Stegostoma tigrinum: one gene and its partners. The protein of the gene in region 2 purifies or fractionates together with the protein of the main gene of each other region. This does not show direct contact. Links are inferred from orthologs where the notes say so. Each region holds a gene or a part of one and is shown on either strand. Other genes may lie near its edges.

Region 1 (7,906 bases), on a different chromosome or scaffold from region 2:
AGGAAATCTGTTTAATCCAGAAACTATTTTGGAGAGATTGAAGACTGATAAATCCCCAGGGCCTGTTGAGCTATGTCCCACAGGCCTCCAGATGGTGGCTCTAGAAATAGTGGATGCATTGGTGATCAACTTACAAGATTCTTTAGACTCTCGAACAGTTCTTACAGATAGAGTATAACTAATGCAGCCCCACTATGAAGAGTGGGGTAAAGGGAAAATTATTATAGACCAGTCAGTCTAACATCGGTAGTGAGCAAGATGTTAGAGTCCATTATCAAGAATATTATACAAGTACACTGAAAAAACAGTGGTAGAAGCAGACACACAGTCTGATCTACAAAAGGGAAATCATGCTTGACAAATCTTCTGGAATTCTTGGAGGATGTAACTAGCAGAATTGATCAGAGGGAGCTAGTGGTTTACAGAAGGTTTTAGGCAAAGTCTCAAGTAACAGATTAATATGTAAGATTAAAATGCATGCAATTGGAGCTAGTATTGACATGGACAGAAAATTGATTAGCAGACCGGAAACAAGGAATAAAAGATAATATAGTATGGAGCTGGAAGAACACAACAGGCCAGGCAGCATCAGGGGAGCAGGAAAGTTGATGTTTTGGTTCAGGTTTTTCCAGCTCCATACTGTGTTATCTCTGATTCCAGTATCTGCAGTTCTTGCTATCTCATAAGAAACAAAGGGTCTTTTTCTGAATGGCATGCAGTAACTAGTGGGGTACTGCAGTAATTGGGACCCCAGCTGTTCATAATATGTTAATAGTTTAGATTTGGCAACTAAATATAATATCTTAATTTTAAGATGACACAAAGGATGCAGAGATGTTGAAATGTGTTTTGGACAACCCGACTAAGCAGGTAAATGTCAGACAATGTGGATAAATGAGAGGTTATCCACTTTGGGAGCAAAAATAGAAAGGTAAATTATTGTTTGACTGACCGTATATTGAGAGATCAAAATGTTCAACGAGACATCAGCATCGTCTTGTACGAGTCACTGAAAGTAAGCATGGAGGTGCAGTTGGCTGTGCAATTTATACAGAGCATTGGTAAGGCCACATCTGGACTACTGTGTGCAGTGTTGGTCTCCTCATTTGTGGATGAATATGCACAGTGAAGATTTTCCAAATTGATTCCAGGAAAGACAGGATTAATGTATGAGGAGAAATTGAGTTGGTTACAACTGTAAACACTGGTGTTTAGAAGAATTCTCATAGAATTTTATTGGTTTCTAACAGGATTAGACAGGTTAGATGCAAGATTGACGTTCCTGGTAGTGAGAGAGTCCAGAACCAGGAGTCACATTTTAATAATAGTGAGATGAGAGTGGTGAGCCTGTGAATTCACTTCCACAGAAACTGGTTTCGGTCAGAACATTATGTTTTCAAAATGAGGCAGATGTAGCTCTTGTGGCTAAAGGGATGAAGGGTTATGGGAGGAGACCAGGATCACCAAACTACCAGGAAATGCAGCGTAGGACAATAGGAAACCTGCCTGAGTACCAGCTTCATATCCACAGGAGGTGCTTTCCAGGAGTCTTATGCCCACTGATCCTCCCATTCTCAGCCCCACCCCATTTATTCATTCATTGGAGGTCCCTCACAGATGAGGATGATTCTCTTCAAATCTCAGGGTGAGTCAATAGGTAGCTGTGCAGACTAATGCAACTTCTGCAGGCTCTGTTACACTTGCAGCAGAAGGTGGTTGCAGGAAGAGGTGGGTGGGGCATTAGTGTGGCAGCCCGCTCCTTATGCTGTTTTTGCCTGGCTTTGCTTTTTTCTGACAGTACATCCCAAGGTTCCAGATGCTCGTCTTCCACTTTGGACTACCTTGAGCCAGTGATTCTCAGAAGTACGTAGGAATGCTGCACTTTGCCACTGAGGCCTTGACAACATCGCCGAATCACTTCCTCTGTCCACCTGAGGCTCGCCTGCTGTTTCAGAACTGAGAGTAGAGCATGTGCTTGGGGAGTCTCGTGTCAGTCATACAGATGATGCGCCCAGCCCATTGCAGCCGATCAAGTGTGGTCAGTGCTTCGATATTGGCCTATTCCAGGATGCTGGTGTTGGTGTGTCTTTCTTCCCAGTGGTTGCGCAGGATCTTGCACAGGCAGCGTTGGTGGTACTGCTCCAGCACCTTAATGTGTCTGCTGTAAACAGCCCACATCTCAGAGCCATATAGGAGGGTGGGAACCACCTTGGCTCTGCAGATCATGAAAGTGGTGTCAGATCTGATGTTGTTCTTGAACACCCTTTTCCTCAGACAGCTGAAGGCGGAAGATCCAGGTGGTGCTGGATCTCTTCATAAATAGTTGCTTTGGCCAACAGGGCACTCCTGAAGTATTGGAAGTTGTCAACTTTCCTCTCAGGCCTCCCTGAGGACCATGAAGATTGGGCATTCGCTCAACAATGCCAGGCCAATTTGGTGGATATTCAGGGTGAGACCCATGTTCTCATATGCCTTGGTAAAGGTTTGAGGTTTTTGACTTGCTTGCCGAGCTGGCTTGTTTTTGTTCAGATGTTTCATCACCGTGCTAGGTGACATCGTTATTGGAGCCTCCGGTGAAGCGGAGTTATTCTACTCCACTTGTCTGTTATGGTGAGTAATGTCATTTCCGGTTTTGATCTGTATCGGTAAAGGTGTTAACGATGGCCTGGTGTACGTCCTCTGAGATTGCACATTCTCAGGCATCATTCGCATGCTGCAGCTTGATGACATTGCTTGGGTGGTTCTGGCTTAAAGGTGATGGAGGTTGAATCATTTCCTGCTGGTTCTGTAAGTTAGCTCCACTTCAGCAGGGAGCTTATTGGCCTTGAGGTGAAGCACTGCAGTGAGATGGATCAAGAACTGTTGGGACTATGATGGAGCCCTGCTTGACACTGGTCTCAATGGAGAACGGATGAGTGGTGGTGTCATTACTACAACTTTGCATGTTGTTGTGGTGCAGGCAAAGGATGATGATAAAGTTTTGTGGTACAATCAAAGCAGAGAAGGACACTCTATCATGCTTCCTCATTGACAGTGTCGAAGCCCTTTGTAAGATCAAAAAGGCTCTGTACAGGGATAGGTTCTTTTCTCTGCATTTCTCCTGCAGCAACAATCACATCTGTGTGCCCCTCTGTGGCTGAATGCCACACTGCAATTCTAGGAGGAGTTCCTCAGCCACAGAGAGGAGACTGTTGAGGAGGATCTTGAATGATGACTTTTCCAACAGTCAACAGCAGGGAGATTCCCCTTTAATTACTTGTTCCCTTTTTTGAAAATGTTCATGACTGTAACATCTCAGAGCTCTCGGGATGCTCTCCTCATTCCTGATAAGTAGACAAGGGCATGTAGCTGTAGCAGGAGCACTTTGCCTTCACAGTTCAGTGCCTCAGAAGGGATACCGTATGCTCCAGCAACCTTGCTGTTAAACTGCCGGATGGCCTTTTTTACTTCATGCAGGCTGGGGTGTTGCTGAGCTCATGGCATGTAGTGTGCTGGGTGATATGTTCAAGCATGGCCGGATCCATGCCAGCGTCCTGGGTGAGAAGCTTCTGAAGTGCTCCCCAGCTTTGTTTCTTTGTCTTTGTCACTCTGTCCTTGGCCAGCAGTGGGTTGCAGCCTTAGGTGTTTGGTCCAAAAGTGGTCTTGATAGCATAGAGAAAACCTTGCACATCATGGCTGTTGGACAATCGTTTGGCCTGAAATGCTTCCTCCACCCACCAGTTATTCTTAACGTCACAAGTTTTTTGTTGGATCTCTGCCTTTAAGCCTGACTTTTTTCTTCAGAATGTGGTTGTTGCTTTCCACTCAGAAATGCAATGCACTTTCAGCTTATCAGTTCTTAGATCTCCTGATCATTCTCATCAAACTGGTCTTGGTGTTTCCTGTTTGAGAAATCGACTTGAGTTTTTGCAGGCATTGACAATGGTAGTCTTGAGGGCAGACCAGAGACTGTTACGATCCTGTGGCTCTGTGTCGCTGACAGTCACTAAGTCTATGGAGAGGAATTGGTTGCATGAGGCGAATGTTTTCTGGATTTTGAGAGCCTCAATGTTGAACTTCTTGTGACACTGCTTCTATTACGGTGGAGCTCTATTTATATTAATCCTGGCATTGGATCCGGCGATGGTCTGTCCAGCAGTTGTCGGCTCCTGTCATAGCGCAGGTGGTTTTGACATCTTTCTGATCCCTTGCTGTGATGATAATGTAGTCAACGAGGTACCACTGTTTGGAACACAGTTGCTAGTTGCACAGTCTTCTAATTGTCCCTTGGCAGAACAGTGTGTTGGTAATGAGGGGAATGTGATTGTGGCATTTTATTCACGAGTGCCATTGAGTTTTGCTTTGCAACTCTCTCTTTTCTGATTACATCGCCCCAAAGTATGTACTTCTGCGGACTCTGGTCTTGGAGTCGTCAAGAACGACTAGTTTGCCCGCCTCAGGGACCCGTGAGAGAGATCGGTCAAGGCTGGAGTAGAATTCCTTCTTGGGCTCACCTGCAGCATTGATCTTCGGTGCATGTGCTCTGCATACTGTGACACACTGGTTCCGAACGAGGTTGAGTCTGGGTGGTAACGTGTGGCATTCGCTTGTTCATTCCCACCTCCAGCTTCGTCTCCGCCCACGGTTTGGTCTCACCTTCCTCTGGTCCTCCCCCTCCCTCGGCCATTGTCCTGCGCAGTAGCCCCATGGCTGTTACGGCAGTATGGCTCCGCCCTCTACCCGCCAAAGCCCCGCCCCTATCAACTGCCCCACCCACGGCGCTAGGCCCGGCCCCCACCTGGTGCTTCACGCTCAGCGCTACGCCCCGCCCCGCGCCTTGGCCACGCCCCCACTGGGCGGGAGTCGCCTCCTGTCGCTACGTGGCAGAGTCTGCCATATTGACCGCGTCAGCTGTGCGTGCAGAGCCGGTAACTGCTGTGCCTGAGGCCGGAGGGTGTGATAGGCCTTCTTGTGGTGAGTGGCTGCTGTCGCCATAACCGGCACCGAACTTAGATCACGGTGGCGGGGTCATGTTGCGCCTAGAGTTACACTCTGGATCCGGTAGCGGTTTGAATCTGTGGGTGAGCTGCTCAGTTTCACTTGGCTTCCCGGTGTGAAGTACCTGCTCACACTGAATCCCTGAGTGCAGGGAGAGAGGTGCCTTGTGTCGGGGGCCACAAGGGTTTGAAGTGCCCTCTGTTACTGGGCAGTTGGTGGAGGGTGAGCGATGCCCGGTATCGCTGAACTCTTAAGGTGGGAGGTGTCGCTGGGCTCACGGTTAGGGGTTTGAGGTGCCCGGTGTCATTGGGCACCTCACATCTTCCCACCGCAGCGAGGCCAGAAACACTGGGTACTTTACCCCCACCCCGCATTCCATGTTACTGGCCTCGGGGAGTCGGGTAGGTTGGTTGGGGTGGGGGTGTGCTTGTGGGAATAGATGTGAATAGACTGTGTAAATTGCTCGGTGTCAATATCCGAGCACCGTGTGATGGATTGGGCAGGCACCGGACACCGTGCCAATGACACTGGGTTTGGGTGGACACTGAGCTGAAGGTGGGTGTGAGATTTGGAGTCGGAGAAAAGGGTCTATGGTGCTTGATGCCCCTGGAATTTTGTCATTAGGATTGGTGAGATGCCCAGAGTCACTGGATTGCCTGTGTGTCTGTTGTCATTGGGCTGGTGGAGTAGGGAGGGACTGAGAAGGTGTTTTGTGTCAGATGTTGGTGAGATGTCTGATATTACTAGTGTGTGGAGTTTGTAAATGTATGCAAGGTATTGTTTATATATGCCAGAGCTGTAGGAGATGATGTACGAAGTTCCTCTGTTCTTCACCACAAACTCTCTCAGGTACTTGGATTTTTCTGGAGTAACCTATGATCTATTGATTGCTCCAGTATCTGTGGGAATATGAGAAATCTACATACTTTGCATGTTATCTGGGATTTTTGACTACTCTAATTTAAAGTTAAACAGGTCCTTGATCTCAGGTCAGGTCTTCACTGCTAGTTCTGATCCTGGGCCCTTGCTTCCCTCCTGAATTTAAACTGAGGTCCTGGGGTCGATTTATGGCAGAGGTTGGTTAGTGTAGGTAGTCCTGTGAGTACCCCTGTGCTGACCAGCTGCTGCTGGATGAGCCTGGTTAATCATCAGTGCGATAGAAGTAGTAATTTTAACCATATTTTTCAGTTCACTTTAAGATTTTTATTTATCAGTGTTGGAATTGCAGCAACTTAAAATGACACTACACTTCAGTTCAGAAGAGTACAGGTACAATGTTTTAATTTTGTTCTCTGTGAAAAAAGGCTCAGTAGAACATCAATCATTTTTTTAAATGCTTAAGTTAAAGTCAATTTTCAAGAACGTAACCCTGACTTTAGTTGAGGCCAACTGTACTGAAATGAAAGAAGTATACACAAATACAAATTTCACCAAGAATCAGTGTTAAGTCTTTAGATAGTGGCAAGAGCAAGGCAGGTGTTGCAAAAAACGCATCACTTGGCTAAAGCAAATTTAGACAGAATATTCCCGAAAGGGCTACATTTGTTTAATATTGTTTCCATTTGAAGTCCTTGGAGAAGTAGCGGTTTCAATTACTAACAAACATGTTGTTTGCTAAATTACTTCAAAACAGCACCAAGATCTCTATGCAATTATTGGGACGTAACTGAGCGAGTCGTTTTAAAATTTGCTAACGTAAATCAGTATAATTTTGAACACGTCCTGTTGTGCACTACTATTAGTGCAATATTGTTTTGTAAATTTTGTATTCTGGAACTTAATTAACTACATCCCTGTTGAAAACTCTTGAAATGCATCGATTTAGTATCTGTCTCTGAATAGCTTTCTATGCAATATTTAATTACCCCAGGCCTTTGTTTTTATAGAACGTAGAACGTTACAGCGCTGCACATGTTCTGTTTTACTACATGCAGACCTTCCTTAGCTCTCCTGATTTCCCTTTTTGCTTTTCTATAATGTTATGCTTAGTTGATTTTCTTGACTAGCTTTTATCTTGAGTCTTATTTGAATTTCTTTCCTCTTTCAAAGGACTCCAGCTTTTGCAACTCTGTTCCTTGTAGAGCTTGTACCTATATCATCTCTTGCTTATCCATATCCACTAAATTTTCTCTCGAGTTTATCTCAGTTTCTGTTTATTTCATAATCATTTTTTCAGCTTTTATGTTAAATGTAATTTCATTTACTGTTAAACTTGTTAAGTGTTTTCCACACTTTGCTTTGCCTACTTGGCCTTTCTTAATTTTTGATAACTGGCTCTGGCACTTTTTGGGAAAATAATAAGCACTGACATAAAACAATCTCAGATACATTGTAAAGACTCACCTGTAATAAATTGACTGTATCTTTACTACTCATTATTTTTCCCTATCTCTGAAAAACAAAATCATTCATGTTCTTGCTGTTTTTGTGCACCTCTTCCACTATTTTCTTTCTGTCGCTTTCATTCTAAATTCCATGCAAAGTTGAACTTTTGAATTATCCCCATGATCATCGTTGTGATTAAATATTTTATTAGTCATGTCACCACATTTCCCTTTTTCATGATCTAACCTACTTTTTTGTAACTAGGAATATGTAGCTTACAGCCCTGCTTTAGCTGAAACAACATTGCTGTTAAATAATCTCTCTGCCAACGCTTGTATATTGTTTTACATTGCTATCTTTATGTAGTTCATCAATTTTTATCTCAGCTCTTTGTGCATTTCCAACTCAAATTTCTTCTCTTTACGGATCTTTTTTACTCCCTATATAAATTGTTATAAATTGTTTGTAACTTTGCTGTTTCACCCTTCTAGCCTTTCTGCAATATTGTTCTTGCTCTCAGTTCCTTCCTCATCTCCCCATCTTCCTTCCCCCATTGACTATTGTTTTAAACACCTGCTCCACAACATTAATTAGTCTTCCAACA
Region 2 (7,757 bases):
GTAGCTTATTCCCAGGACACTTGCAATACAAGGTACACCCATATATTTCCAGTATCCAGTAATTCATGTTAAATATTCCAGGCGTAACCTCATAAAATGCTTCCCATTCACCAGTTTGACTTGTTCACATGGCTGCGATCCTGTGGCTTCTCTGAATAACTGCAACTGCTGCCATATTTTGCATTGTCACCTGTTTGCAAACTGCACTCAACCCAACCCAACCTACCATTTCCTCAATAATGCACTTCAATATGGAGACTTTATACACCATACACAGAAAATTTATAACATCTCTCATTGTTTGGTCTTGAATCTGTCCTAGTTGGTGAAGGATTAGACTCTAACACACATGCTCAAATACTTTTTTGAAGCCCCGAATCTAGAAACCACAATTAAATAAATTTGTCAACAGACTTATTCCCTCAGTGCAAAGTTATTAACAATGTAGAATCTCACAGCACACGGAGACAATTCACCAAATCCGATTCGTACTGCTCCCCACTGTAATTAATTCTTTTCATGTATTCTAAATTCCCTTCAGAAAACACGCTGACACAGGCATGACGGGCCAAACAATCTCATGTGCTGTATCATTCTAGAAATTGATGAAGCTGCTTGTACCATTCTTTTTGAGCCCCCTTGACTGTGCAGATGAGGTCTTGATTTGACATATCTTCAGAAAGATGGTAGCTCCAAGTGTGTGGCACTGCTTTATTATTGTCACAGCCTAGATTCTGTGCTCAAGTCATGAACCCGAACTGAACGCCAGCCATTTGAAACTTACCATATAGGACTTCCAGAGACAACAAAACATTGCAATGTCCCAAGGAAATGAAAGAAATTTGTTTGCCTTTTTTTCTCCAAAGGTAGTGGAGTCAACACCAGCCTATCACCTCTGGCTGGAGGTATCAATGAATGGCAAACAGCAGTTGTTAGTGCAGCCTGTTGTGAATCCAAGGCTCTCCAAAGACGCTTCAAGTGACCCTTGCTCAGGACAGACCGAGAGGAGGGGCTTAGAGCCATCCTAAATTATTACTGATCCCAGTCATCCCAGAGATGATCCACTGGAGACTCCTGTTGCCAATAGTTTCTGTGGTTGGGGTTCATGAGCATGTTTTTCTGATGAAGGGTCTAGGCCCGAAACGTCAGCTTTTGTGCTCCTAAGATGCTGCGTGGCCTGCTGTGTTCACCCAGCCCCACGCTTCTATTCTTAGCTCCTGCCTTCGGAACCAGATCATCCCAATGGACTACAGCCCACATTCAAGCCTTCCCACATTTGGCCCCAACCGTGACAATGTCTACATTCAGAACATTGAGACCCTTAAGAAGTGTTTCTCCCTACGATTCCTGAAACATTTTCTGAAGGAAGGTCTAGACCCAAAACATCCACCTTCCTGCTCCTCTGACGTTGCTTGGCCTGCTGTGTTCATCCAGCTCTACACCTTGTTATCTCTATATTCAAGATCTGTCTGAAATGGGAAGGATCACAAGCAGGAATAGTCAACGAAGCTGACTAAGGCAGAGCGCGCTCAGAGAATTACTGTGAATAAGATGTTCGAGCTGAGACTGGGAGAGGGAACAAGGTATAGAGATGGACAAACACAGCAGGCCAGGCAGCATCAGAGGAGCAGGAAAGCTGATGTTTTGGGTCTGGACCCTTCTTCTGAAATCAATGAGGGTCCAAAGTTCAGAGATTGCAGATCATTAAATCATAGATCATAGAATTCCTCCAGTGTGGAAATTGACGCTTCAGCCCAACAAGTCCACATCAACCCTTGGAGCATCCCACCCAGATCCATCCCCCTATAACCCACACACCCCTGAACACTACAGACAATTTAGCACGGCCAATCTACCTAGCCTGCACATCTTTGGACTGTGGGAGGAAACCAGAGCACCCAGAGGAAACCCATACAGACACAGGGAAAATGTGCAAACTCCACACAGACAGTTGCCCGAGGCCGGAATCGAACCCAGGTCCCTGGCGCTGTGAGGCTGTAGTGCTAATCACTGAGCCACCCCCATATGGTGGTCATTTTCTCAAAAAGGGTCCAGCCCTGAAACGTCAGCTGTCCTGCTCCTCTGATGTTGCTTGGCCTGCTGTGTTCACCCAGCTCCACACCTTGTCGTCTCAGATTTTCCAGCATCTGCAGTTCCCACTGTCTCTGGGAGGGGAAAGATATGTTCGGGACTAAGTTAGAGAGGAATGGGTGACTCCCGACCTGAGTTGTACAGAATAGGGAAGGCAATTACAAAAAAACAGAGATAATGGGAACTGCAGATGCTGGAGATTCCAAGATAATAAAATGTGAGGCTGGATGAACACAGCAGGCCAAGCAGCATCCCAGGAGCACAAAAGCTGACGTTTCGGGCCTAGACCCTTCATCAGAGATGATATGCTCCAAGCCACAACGGGGAAAGGCCACCGTTTAAAGTATTTTTACCAAAGTCCATGGTGGGGTGGGGGTGGAAGGTCCATTCAGTTACTAGACCCTCTCGGTGTCTAAAACGTATGTGAATGTAAACCTGTACAAGTAAGAAGTGGTTTGGGGTTTTGATTTTGTGACTACGGGCAATGCCAAATTCCAGTGTTTGTTATTCGCGTGCAAGGCTGCGCAGAAATCCTTTCATAACCGTACGTGGAGTCATTTTTAATGAACGTGGAGTATTTCTGCAATAAAGTATAAGGACTGGGCCTGATTGGAGTCCCCTTCACTCCTGACACAATCCGAGCTGGGGTGGGGAGACACAATCCGAGCTGGGGTGGGGAGACACCCTCCTCAGGTTCCCTCCCTCACCGTCTCCCCCCACCCCACACAGGCCTGAGCCTCTCCGGCCGAGCCCCCCGGGGCGAGGAGAACTCACCATGGCTCCGCCGGGCAGGCCGCTCCGCTCGCAGTCTCGACGCCGGGCCCACAACCCGCTTCCGCTCCTCACAGACGTGGCAGCCCGGAACCTGTCCCGCTCCACAAACCGACCGACTCCCGCCGCCAATCGCAAACAAAGGTTCCGCATGGAGCCGCTGCACTGACACAGTTCACAGCGCCCTCAGCATCAGTATCGCCCTGAGCAGCACTAGTGCCCTGAGTATCAATGTCGCCCTGAACAGCAATAGTGCCCCAAGCATCAGTATCACCCTGAGCAACAATAGTGTCCTGAGTATCAATATCGCCCTGAGCATCAATAGTGCCCTGAGTATCAATAGTGCCCTGAGCATCAATACCACCCTAGGCATCAATACCATACTGAATATCAATAAAACCCTGCGTATCACCAGCACCCTGAGCATCACTAGCAACCTGAGCATCAATAGCACCCTGCGTATCACTAGCACCCTGAGTATCACTGGCATCTTGAGCATCAATAGTACTCTGAGCATCACTAACTGAGAGATCATATGAAAGCAGCAGAGAAACACACAGAGGCAGACATCTAGTGGGAATGACCACTGAGAGACCATATACGATCCAGCAGAGACACAGACAGACAGAGTGAACAACTGGGCATGATAAATGAGAGATATTAACACAATGACAAGAAATATGAGTAGCACTGGACTGACCTCAATAATCATTCTCAACAGACATCTCTCTCTGACAGTGTGTGCTGGATTCATATGATCCCTCAGTGATCTTTCCCAGTATATGTCTGTCTTTGTCTGCTGCATTAATATGATGTCAGTGGGATTTCCCAGTAGATTTACAATCATAGAAGAATCATACAATCCCTATGATGCACAAAAAGGCTGTCCAGCCCATTGAATGTACACCAATCCTCAGAAGAACATCCCACCCAAACACAGGACCCTGACCCATCCCCATGACCTTGTATTTAGCATGGCTGATCAACATAAACTGTACATCTTTGCACTGAAAGGAAACTGGAGCACCTGATGGAAACTCACATAGACATGGGGAGAATTTGCAAACCACACTGTCACCGAATGCTGGGATTGAACCTGAGTCCCTGGTGCTGTGAGGCAGCAGTGCTAACCACCTACCAAGCCATTGTGCTGCCCCAAGATTTCTGTAGCTGCTGGCTTAATATTATTTCTCATTGATTATTCCTAATAGAGCTCTTCCATTGTCTGGGTTTTCAGGTTACTATGATCTCTCAGGGCTCATTGACAGCGGATTGCTTTGTCTGAATCTGCTGGGTTAATATGATCTCTCGGTTATCATTCCCAGTAGATCTCTTTCTTTATCTGCATTCATTGGTTTAATGTGATCCCTCAGTGATCATTTCCAGTATACCATCCCTCCAAATTTGCTGGGCTATTATGATCTCTCAGCAATCATTGTGTGTAGATCTCCAGCTCTGTCTGTTCTCGGTTGATATGAGTTATCAATGATCATTCCCAGTACATCTCCCCCTCCATGTCTGCTAAGATAATATGATCTCCCAGTCATCATTGCCAGTTGATCCCTCCCTCTGTCTGCATCTCTGCTGGGTTAATATGAGCTCTCAGTGAACATTCCCACTAGATCTCTGACCCTGCCTGTGTCTATTCTGGGTTAATATGATCCCTCACTGATAATCCCCAATTGATCTCTTTGTCTGTATTTGCTGAGTTAATATGAGCTCTCAGTGATCATTCCCAGTGGATTTCTCCCTCTGCCTTATGTGTTAATGTGATCCCCTCAGTGATCAGTCCCAATAGATCTGTCTCTGCTGGGTCAATATGATCTCTCAATGATCGGTCCCAGTAGATCTGCCTCTGCTGGGTAAAACCCAGTGATCAACCCCAGTGGAGCTCTCCCTCGGCCAATGTCTGTTAGATTAATATGATCTCTTAGTGATCGCTCCCAGTACATCTCTCCCTCAACTAGTGTCTTCTGGGTTAATATTATCCCTCAATGATCATTCCCAGCAGATCCCTAACTCTGTCTGTGTCTAATCTGAGTTAATATGATCCCTGAGTGATCAGTCCCAGTAGATCTGTCTCTGCTGGGCTAATATGATCTCTCAGTGATCATTGTGTGTAGATCTCTAGCTCTGTCTGTGTCTCTTTTTGGTTGATATTATTTATCAATGATCAGTCCCAGTACTTCTTTTCCCTCCATGTCTGCTGGGATATGATCCTCAAGTCATCATTGCCAGTAGATCTCTCCCTCTGCCTGTGCCTGATGGATGGGTATGATCCCTCAGTGATCAGTCCCAGTAGATTCTCTTCCTGTCTATGCCTGTAGTGTTAATATGATCCCTCAGTGATCAGTCCCAGTAGATCTCTCCCTGCCTGCTCCTGAAGTGTTAATATGATCCCTCAGTGATCAGTCCCAGTAGATTCTCTTCCTGTCTGTGCCTGTAGTGTTAATATGAACCCTCAGTGATCAGTCCCAGTAGATCTCTCCCTGCCTGCTCCTGAAGTGTTAATATGAACCCTCAGTGATCAGTCCCAGTAGATCTCTCCCTGCCTGCTCCTGAAGTGTTAATATGAACCCTCAGTGATCAGTCCCAGTAGATCTCTCCCTGCCTGCTCCTGAAGTGTTAATATGATCCCTCAGTGATCAGTCCCAGTAGATCTCTCCCTGCCTGCTCCTGAAGTGTTAATATGAACCCTCAGTGATCAGTCCCAGTAGATCTCTCCCTGCCTGCTCCTGAAGTGTTAATATGATCCCTCAGTGATCATTCCCAGTAGACCTCCACCTCCCTGAGTCTCCCCCTCACAGAGGGATTCTCTGGTAGATACCACTCGACAGACCGAGGGGGAGGGAGAAACGTCATTACGTTCCCCTCTGCTTCCCTGTCTCGCCCTCCCCCCCCAGGGGCTGGCGGAGATGGTTTGTGCCCGTGACCTGTGACCCGGTTTAGGGGCGGGGCGGCTGCCGGCGCCATCTTTTCCCATGGACGGTCCTCGAGGGGGCGTCAGCAGCAGTTTCTTGTTGTTGTTTCAGAGAGGGACGCACTGAGGGGGGGGGAAAAAAAGCTCGGTGCCTGCAGCTCACGCACTGCCCGCCATGGCCAATGTGTCCTATCACATCTCCAACTTGCTGGAGAAAATGACCTCCAGCGACAAGGACTTCAGGTAGGCCCCGTCCCCTCCCCCTCCTCCTTTAAACACTCTGTTATACTGGGGCAGCAAGATCCACCCCATTCCCTTACACTGGGGCAGCACGACCCCAATCCCAGCTGACAGTCTGCCCCTCCCCCACCCCATTCCCCTACACTGGGGCAGCACGACCCCAATCACAGCTGACAGTCTCTTCCCCCCCCCCCCCCCCACCCCATTCCCTTACACTGGGGCAGCACGACCCCAATCACAGCTGACAGTCTCTTCCCCCCCCCCCACCCCATTCCCCTACACTGGGGCAGCACGACCCCAATCCCAGCTGACAGTCTGCCCCCCCCCCCACCCCATTCCCCTACACTGGGGCAGCTCGACCCCAATCCCAGCTGACAGTCTGCCCCCCCCCACCCCATTCCCCTACACTGGGGCAGCACGACCCCAATCACAGCTGACAGTCTCTCTCTCCCCCCCCCCCCCCCACCCCATTCCCCTACACTGGGGCAGCACGACCCCAATCACAGCTGACAGTCTCTTCCCCCCCCACCCCATTCCCCTACACTGGGGCAGCAAGATCCCAATTCCAGCTGACAGTCCCCTCACATTCAGACTGGGGCAGCAAGATCCCAATTCCAGCTGACAGTCCCCTCACATTCAGACTGGGCAGCAAGATCCCAATTCAGTCACATCCAATAGGCATCACTCTGGTTGTTACAGCATATGTTTAGCAATGCAGTTGTGTGTCAGCTTGGAGTATGCATACAAGTTAAAGGAACAGGATGGGAACCCACAACATTTGACTTGAAGGCAAGAATGGTGTCAAGCTGATGACTTAACTCTTTGATCTCGAGTTTTTTTTCAGTTAGGAGTAAATTACTGTGGATGCTGGAATCTACTGAAACCAACAAATGCTGCAGATCACAGCAGTCAGGCAGTATCCATGGAAAGAGAGAGAGAACGAGCTAATGTTTTGCGTCTAGGTGATTTTTCAGAGCTGACATGAAGTGTGAAGGGGGCAGTGTTTATGCTGTTGTGGGGGGAGGGCAGGGATGGTATTTGGAGTGTGGAGTGTAGAGTGCTGGGGGGAAAAGGATATTGATTGTTCAGATTAAGTGATCAGAATGTGAGAATGGCAGAACAATGGTGTGTCTGACTGCCAGATAGGTCAGAACAGACAGTCCAGCTGGGGTGGGAGAAGGGGAGGGAGGACATGGTGACAGAGAATGCAACAAAGCTAAAAGAAAGGGAAGGAATGGGAGTTGGTTCATAATTTGAAGGTGTTGAACTCCATATTAAGTCCAAGAGGTTGTAAAGCGCTTAGTCTGAAGATAAGATGTAGTGCTTCGGTTTGCACTGTGATTTTCTGGAGAACTGCCGCATGCTGAGGACAGACAAGTAGGCATGTGAGCAGGACGCTGTTAAAGTAACTGGCTATGGGTAGGTCGGGGTCGTGCTTGTGTGCAGATTGGAGCTGTTCTGTAAAAGCGGTCACCCAGTCTGCATTTGGTCCCTCCAATGTAGAGTAGTGTGGCGAATACAATAAGCAAGATTGGAGGAAGCTGCTTCACCTGGAAAGACTGTTTAGGCCCTTGGATGGTGAGCAGGGAGGTGGTGAACGGGCAGGTGTTGAAACTTCTGCAGTTACATGGGAAGGAGGATGTGGTCTTTGTGGTTGATGAGTGGGCTAGGATGTCCTGGAGGGAATTGGGCAGAATTGCTGGGCCAGCATAAATTGTCTATCCTTAGTTGCCCT
Region 3 (7,888 bases), on a different chromosome or scaffold from region 2:
TCTACCCTTGTCATCAACATCTCTGAGGAAGATAAAATTATTGCTCATGGGGACTTGAATGCTCAAGTCAGAAAAGACACACAACTCTGGACAAGGAGTCGGGTATTGCAACTCTGAAAGGATTCACACTCAGCAAATGTACATCACCAATACATTTCTTGCTCCGAAAAGATAAATTCAAGAATTCTTGGAGGCATCCATAATCAATGCACTGGCACATAATTAATTATGTCATTGCTCAGCCCAGAGACCAAAAAGATTACCAAAGTGATGACCTAGTGCAGACAATTGATGGACAGACCACTGACTCCTCCCCTCCCCAATGTCCATCAAATGACACTAGAAACAGATGAAGGTGAAGAAACAGGAATAGATGGGATTCTAGTGGAGATTTTCAAAGTTGGAGGAGCAAAGCTTACCTGTCATCTCCATCAACTGTTTCTGAAAATCTGGACAAAGAAGAGATCCCTGCCAATTTCAGGGATGCTGCCATCGCCACTGTCCTCAAGAAAGGAGACAAAATGGTCTTGGGAACTACTGAGAAATCTCCCCTCATTCCATCACCAGGAAGATCATCACCTGAATCCTTATTAACTGCCTTCTCCCAGACTCAGAGGAAACTGTTCTGGAAAGCAGTGCGTTTTCTGACAGAAGTGTGGAACTGTCATCATGATTTTCACTGCTCGGAACTCCAAGAAACCACCAACCACTCTACGTGGATTTCATCAATCTGATCAAGACTTTTGACTCAGTCAGTTGGGAAGTGTTATGGAAGACCCTTGCAAAGGCTGACTGTCCAGTGAAATTCATCAACATCCTCCATCTCTAGCATAAGATAGTAGTGATGAGCCTCCGTCAGGAATATGACAGAATCTTTTGAGGTCATCTCAGGGGTCAAGCAGGGATATATCATCACCACTGCCCTTTTCTCCATCTTCATCACCAGAATTCTTCAGTTTCTTCAAGAACAAACTTCCTATTAATGTGAACATTGTCTCCAAGATGGATGGAAAACTCTTCAACCTTAATCAGTTGAAATCCAAGAAGAAAATGACATGGATATTACTTATTGAATATTAGTATACAAATGGCAATGTCATCTCCACTATCTCAGAACAGAATCTTCAAACCATGCTTAATGTCTTCAAGGAAGTACCTGAAGAATTAGTTTCAACCTTGAAGGCTCAAAGTTTTACCAAGCTCTCCTTGGTCAAGTTCAGTCCATCCCTCTATGAAGATTAATGAAGAAATCCTCCAAACTACTAAACATTTCCTTTATTTGTGAAGCTACCTCTCATCAATGGCTGATACCAATGCAGAGATGCAACATCACATTCAATCTACGAGTGCTGCTTTTGGACAACTAATGATGAGAGTATTCAATGTTTGTAACATCCGTGCTGATGCCAAAATCCTTGTGTATAAGGTAATCATTCTTCAGACTCTTCTACATAGCTCTGAAACTTGGATTATACATAAATGCCACCTTAAGATCCTTGAGAAGTACCATCCACATTGTTTGAGATGGATTCTCCTTATGATTCAGGATGGTAGGTGTACTAACATTAGCATTCCTTGAAACGTATAATACAACAGCTTCAAGGCTTCATCCAGAATCAATTCTGGTGGGCTGGCCGTATGCTTAGGATGTTTGAGTTCTGACTGTCAAAACAAATCTTCACCCAGCTCAAAGGAGGCACTCGAGCAAAAGGAGGACATAGGATGTGTTTTAAAGTCTCCTGAAAGCTTACATCAAGAATGGCAAGATAGATGTGAACACATAGGAAACCCTCATTCAGAAGAAACTGACTTGATGGAAACTCCTGTCGAAAGCCTGTGGATGGCATGGTGGCTCTGTGGTTAGCACTGTTGCCTCACAGTGCCAGGTTTGATTCCACCCTCACGTGACTGCCTATATGGAGTTTGCACACTCTCCCTGTGTCTGCGTATGTTTAGGCTTCCTGCCACAGTGTAAGATGTGCAGGTAAGGTGGATTGGCTGTGCTTAATTACCCAGAGTGTCCACAAGTGTGTCAATTAGGTGGATTAGTCATGGGAAATGCAGGGTTACAGGAAAAGGGAGGGGGATGGGACTGGATGGGATGCTCTTTGGAGAGTGGCTGTGGACTTGTTGGGCCAGATGGCCTATATCCACACTAATTCTATGAAGAGTCACAATTCTTTGAGAACACCCATCAGAAAAAGGGGGTATGGAAAAGGAACCTGAGAAATGCCAATGATCAGAAGGCCAAGGACCACTTCCACCTTCAGTAAACACCTAGCAAATATGTGGTCAGAAATGTTGGTCGAGAATCGGGCTCAGCCACGCAAATACCCACAGAACACATGATTAATGACCACAGAATGTCCTTGGTTGATCAGCATACTTGTTAGCAAGTAATTGTCCACGACTGTACTTCACTTGCAGCTTATATTAGTATTCTTATTGAAGTTCTGTATTTTGTCATTTACCCTCACTTCTCCACTGCCAAGTTTGGTGTCACGTGCAGGATTTTAAAGTGTACAGTATTTTCAACTCCTACTTCAAACTATTTGCAATATTGATATCCCAGGATGGGGAGCACCACTTCGATTTTTTTTTGCCAGTCTAATTAATTGCTGCGAACCACAGCTTTCTCCTCTCTTTTAAAACTAGCTTGGTTTCCATTCTTTTGATCTTTTTAAAAACATTTCGTGTATTTATAAAGAAGAGGATGCCGCATGCCTTTTATCCAGGTTGACTGCTGCCGGCGGACTTCTGTCTTTTCTCTTGGGGGGTCCCTACACCCACCGCCCTCGGTCCAATTCTGTTCCCCTCTCCTTCTCTCCCGGATGACCATGCTAACGTATTTGTCCTTCCCTCGGCTGCTGCTCTGCTCACCTCAGCATCCCAGGATCCGGTGGCGAAGCATTCAGGAAGCTGCAGACTGGAGCCGGATACCGGGAGCCAGCGGACCCGGCTGATCTTCTGTGAAACATAGCGAGCCTCCATGTCAACGGGGAAAGCCACGACCGCGGGCCGGCAACTTCCGAGTTAACACAGACAACTTCCTGGAAAATATCATCAACATCCGGGGGTCAGCCGTCCAGCTCTTCCGGCCCTGTTTATTGTTTCTGAACCGTTTATTATTTATTTGGAAACTTCAGGCTCTGGGGTTTAACTGTGAGTAGCATCGATTATCAGCGTTAGAGTGATTATAAAATCCACGATTGGTATCAGGGAGCGGATGTCTCAAACTGAGGGCACTGTCTGCCCTTTCATATAAAACCCTACCGTTCTATTTGCGCAAAGAACAGGGCGATTCGCCCCGGCCTGGTATTCATTCGTCAGTCAGTATCACCCGGAAAAGCTGATTGTCTGTCCCTGATCGCGTATCTTGTGAAACATTGAGACAACAGGGTGTAGAGCTGGATGAATACAGCAGGCCAAGCAGCATCAGAGGAGCAGGAAAGCTGACGTTTCGGGCCTAGACCGATATACCCCCATTCGGGCCTAGGCCTTCATTTCTGAATATGGATCTAGGCCCGAAACGTCAGCTTTCCAGCTCCTTTGATGCTGCTTGGCCTGCTGTGTGCATCCAGCTCTACACCTTGTTATGTCGGACGGGTCAAGGAGGTGGGGGGTGGAGCCGGTAAAGGTGAGTGTAGCTGGGGAGTTACGGTGGGGATTGGTCAGTCAAGGGAAGACGGACAGGTCTAGGAGGTGGAGGTGGGGGTGTGGGTTAAGGTGGGAGGAGTCGGTAGGTGGGAGAAAGGACAGACAGGTGAGGGAGGCGGAGACGAGCTGGGCTGTTGTTGGGATGCGGTCAGGCGAGGGGAGATTTTGAAGCTTGTGAAGTCCACATTGATACCATTGGGCTGCAGGTTTCCCAAGCGAAATATGAGGTGGCTGTTCCTGCAACCTTTGGTTGGCATCATTGTGGCACTGGAGGAGGCACCCTAACCTCACACTTATGTACTTACCGTCTCTCCGGAGCTTTTTAAAAGTGGCTGTCTGTGATGATTGCTGATGCTATGAAAAAGGAGTCACAGTTTACTTTCACCCCACAGCCTGCAAGATATGGACCTGCCAGAGTAAAAGTACAACACCACGTTAATGAAGGAGCCATGGTCAGAGTCTCCTGTCAGGAATACAGAGCTTTTTTGTTCTGTTTAAAAAGAAGGCGCAGAGTGGCAAATTATGTGTACTTCTGCTCCTCAGAAAATCTGACCAGAATGTGTTGGTGTGTCTGCAGGGTCACTGTGTGCAGCTCCCATGTGTGCTTCAGAAATAATTATCCGGCCAATGTTTCTAATCTAAAATGGTGATTTTTGTTTTCCTTTAGAAAAAATTGCTTCCAAAAATCTTGCACTTGTTTAGATGAGATTCCCTACAGTGTGGAAACAGGCCCTTCGCCCAACAAGTCCACACCGCCCCTTGCAGCATCCCACCCAGACCCATCCCCCTATAACCCACATACCCCTGAACGCTACAGGCAATTTAGCATGGCCAATCCACCTAGCCTGCAGATCTTTGGACTGTGGGAGGAAACCGGAGCACCCGGAGGAAACCCACGCAGACACTGGGAGAATGTGCAAACTCCGCCCAGACAGTCGCCCGAGGCTGAAATCGAAGCCGGATCCCTGGCTTGAATTTAACATAATGCTTTCTCTTCTGCGGCTTTAACTTTTAACAGAAGAAAATTGATGAATACATTTAGTGACCATGGTTTTCTCATATTCATCAATGTAATTCTCTCAGGGCAGTTGATAGACTGTACCTCTTCCTGCCATCTAACAGGACGTATGAGTTTCTTTGATTTTTTTTCCAACTAATTTCTAATATGTTGGAGAACAAATCTGTTTCAATTTAGATATGTTGGAACTAATGAAGGTGTTATTGTTACATAACTTACTAAGAACTATTTAACATGATAAGATAGAGAAAGTTTAAACTTATGATTGTTTAATCTCTAAAATACTTGGGATTAAAATGGTTTTTGATTCAAATGTTTATTTTGAGTACTAAATCCTCCTTGGTGTCTTATCCATGTTGTTCATTTGGACTGATTGGTTCAATGTTTAGTTTTTAAAGGAAGAGAGAATTTGAATCAGCAGAATGATGAATTGTGCAACACACTTGTTCAATTTTCTGCACAGTCAGGTAGATGCCAGTGTTGTAGCTGTACTGAAACAGCTTGGCAACAGGCGCAGCCAGCTCTGGAGCACAAATCTTCAGTACTGCTGCCGAAATGTTGTCACGGCCCATAGCCTTTGCAGTACCTCCAGCTGTTTCTTGATGTCCTATGAAGTGAATCTACTTAGCTGAAGACTGACATTTGTTACAGTGGTAACCTTTGGAGGAGCTGAAGATGGATCATCCAGTCAGCATCTCTGGCTGAAGATTGATGCAGATACTTCAGCCTTATCTTTTGCACTAGCGTGCTGAAGTCTGGTATTATGGAAGATAAGGAAATTTGTGGAGCTGCTTCCTCCGGTGAGATGTTTAATTGTCCACCACCATTCATGACTGAATGTGTCAGGAACGGACAGCTGAGATCTGATCGTTGGTTGTGGAATCTTCTGGAAAATTTAGCATAGCCAATCCAACTGACTTGCACATTGTTAGACTTGTAATTGCAGATTTTTTGATTTAATTCAAATTCCGTCATCTGCTGTAGTGGGATTTGGCACCGAATACATAGAACATTTGCATTGTCTCTGAATTATTAATGCAGCCACGATAAACTATACCATTATCTCCCCTAATGAGGTAAGATATGAGACTACCCACAACAGGATCACTGAGTATTATTTTAATAGTGAAAAGCTAGGAACAATGGAAGTTGAAAGTGATGTGGGGTCCATATATAAAGATAGTTAAAATGTCATCATCAGGAACAATAAATTATCAGAGCTGGAATACAAAGGTGATTTTGCTACAGCTATGCAAAGCCCTGATCTAGATCACATATAAGTACCGCATACAGTTCTCGACAGCACACCTTCAGTGGCCTAGAAAGGTGTGCAATGCAGAATATTCACCAGAATAATACCTTGGCTTCAAGGACTACATTATCGAGGAGGATTACTTAAGTTGGTCTTGTACTATCTTGAACATAGAAGGTTATGAGTGATTTGACTGAGGGTTTTAGGGTTTAGAAAGCAATTGCTAGGATAGAGAGGAAATGTTTTGAGTGGTAGGATGAGAGGATGTGGTCATAAAATTAGATACAGTCAATTCAGACCTGAAATTAGGAAACATTTATTCATGCATAGGGTGGTGGACCATACCATAACAATACATGTTAGTTCAATCAATGGCTATAAATCTGAAATTCAAAGATTTTTGATAGTCATGGTTATGAAGGATTATTGACCAAGGTCAATGGATGGAATTAAGATACAGATCAACCAACTTCACTAATTGACCAAGTCAAAAGTGTAACATGAATCCATTCTGGAGGGAGTACGATGAGCACAGAGGACTGAAAGAAATAGAAGGATCTACTGATTGGGTTATGTGAAGGTGGCTGGGGGGTGGGGCTTATGTGAAGCACAAAAATTGTCAAAGACTGGTTGGGCCAAATAACCTGTTTCTCTAATTTATATTTCATATAATTTGCTCAATGTTTTGATTTATTTTTGGAAGAAATGCATGAGCTGTGATGCTTCGTTAATTTGTGTCTTTTATATAAATGTTATGATTGATCTGGACCAGTTGCTTTTTCTGACAGTCATAATGTACTCTGTTTCTCATTTGTTTGTTTCCACGATATACATATATATTTTCCATTTGCTTAGCTTTAAACCATTTCCAACTAAATGTTTGTGAATTAATTAAGTTTTACAAAAGGCTACGACTGAACTAAATTGTTAAATGTAAGATACAATCTAAATATGCACATTTGGCAGTAAAAAAAATGACAAATACATGGCAGGTGAATAAATGTGAGGTCAAAAACAGGAAGACAGATTATTATCTGAAAGGCAATAGATTAGTAATGGGGAGGACCAGAGAAACCTTAGGAGATCACAGTGAAATCAGGAATCACTTCTTCACATGAAGAGTGGTGAAAATCTGGACATCTCTCCTCTATCATCCCCAATATAAAAGCAGTTTTCAGTAGAAAATTTCAAAATTGAGAATGATAAATGAGTGGGGATTTTAAGGGTTACAGAATCAAGGTTGGATTGAGATACAAATCCATGCTGATTTAGTTGAATAGCTCAATAACAAAATGAACGTCCTCGTCTTGTGTTGCATTCCTAACTGACTGTTCAGAGCAATAAATGCTTCATTCATCCTTTTTTACTAGGAGAATTTCATATTTTTATACTTTTTTGTTTGCAGCTGTGAACTTGCACTAAGCTGGTACAATGAGCAACAGAAGGAAGCGTGCAGCCCCGGTGCGAGTAGACGAAGAAACAAAAAAAAAGCTGAGCTGGAATATGTGTGATGACTTGAAGGATCTCCATGCACTTGATCGATCAAATGACTGTAATAATCCCTTAGCCTTGAGCTCAGGTCTCCCAGGATACAGAGAGACAACCCTTCTCCAGCCTAGCAGTTTGAAACAGGATGAGCCATTTAATATCTCAGCTGTGACTCAGGTCGAGGATGGAGAAAGTCATCTTTTGCCATTAAGTACCACCACCCAGATCAGTCTTTCTGTCTCCCCTGGCCACTTGGGTGAAGAGTGGCGAGCACTGCTGCACAGGTTTACAGTCCAACTTGCAACACGGCAAGCATTTCCAGAGGAACTGTGGTTTCTCAGCATAGGCTTGATGAAGACCAGTGCTGATGATCAGCTGCAAGTCTCAATCAAGAGGAAATGTGATGATTCTGAAAGGGATGACAACGAAGAATTCATAAGCTGTGTAAGAACTTCACTCACTTTTAAGATGCT

What was found. The genes of interacting proteins can lie anywhere in the genome.
Region 1: the proteins of sec13 (region 2) and sec23a fractionate together in Homo sapiens (co-fractionation; 3 studies listed by BioGRID and IntAct, with this or other methods). This does not show direct contact. The link is inferred for Stegostoma tigrinum from reciprocal best matches to the Homo sapiens genes SEC13 and SEC23A.
Region 3: the proteins of sec13 (region 2) and nup43 purify together in Homo sapiens (affinity purification with mass spectrometry; 3 studies listed by BioGRID and IntAct, counting the BioPlex papers as one, with this or other methods). This does not show direct contact. The link is inferred for Stegostoma tigrinum from reciprocal best matches to the Homo sapiens genes SEC13 and NUP43.

The regions. Positions count from the first base shown.
Region 1 is NC_081363.1:58,441,918-58,449,823, reverse strand, and holds the start of sec23a (protein transport protein Sec23A), read left to right. Parts: upstream 1-4,829; 5' UTR 4,830-4,953; intron 4,954-7,906.
Region 2 is NC_081364.1:60,401,628-60,409,384, reverse strand, and holds the start of sec13 (protein SEC13 homolog), read right to left. Parts: upstream 3,039-7,757; 5' UTR 3,016-3,038; coding exon 2,866-3,015; intron 1-2,865. Other genes in the region: cullin-associated NEDD8-dissociated protein 1-like, read left to right, coding at 5,958-6,025. UniProt on the Homo sapiens protein: Functions as a component of the nuclear pore complex (NPC) and the COPII coat. At the endoplasmic reticulum, SEC13 is involved in the biogenesis of COPII-coated vesicles.
Region 3 is NC_081357.1:93,685,934-93,693,821, reverse strand, and holds the start of nup43 (nucleoporin Nup43), read right to left. Parts: upstream 3,078-7,888; 5' UTR 2,992-3,077; coding exon 2,881-2,991; intron 1-2,880. Other genes in the region: E3 ubiquitin-protein ligase SHPRH, read left to right, coding at 7,359-7,888. UniProt on the Homo sapiens protein: Component of the Nup107-160 subcomplex of the nuclear pore complex (NPC). The Nup107-160 subcomplex is required for the assembly of a functional NPC.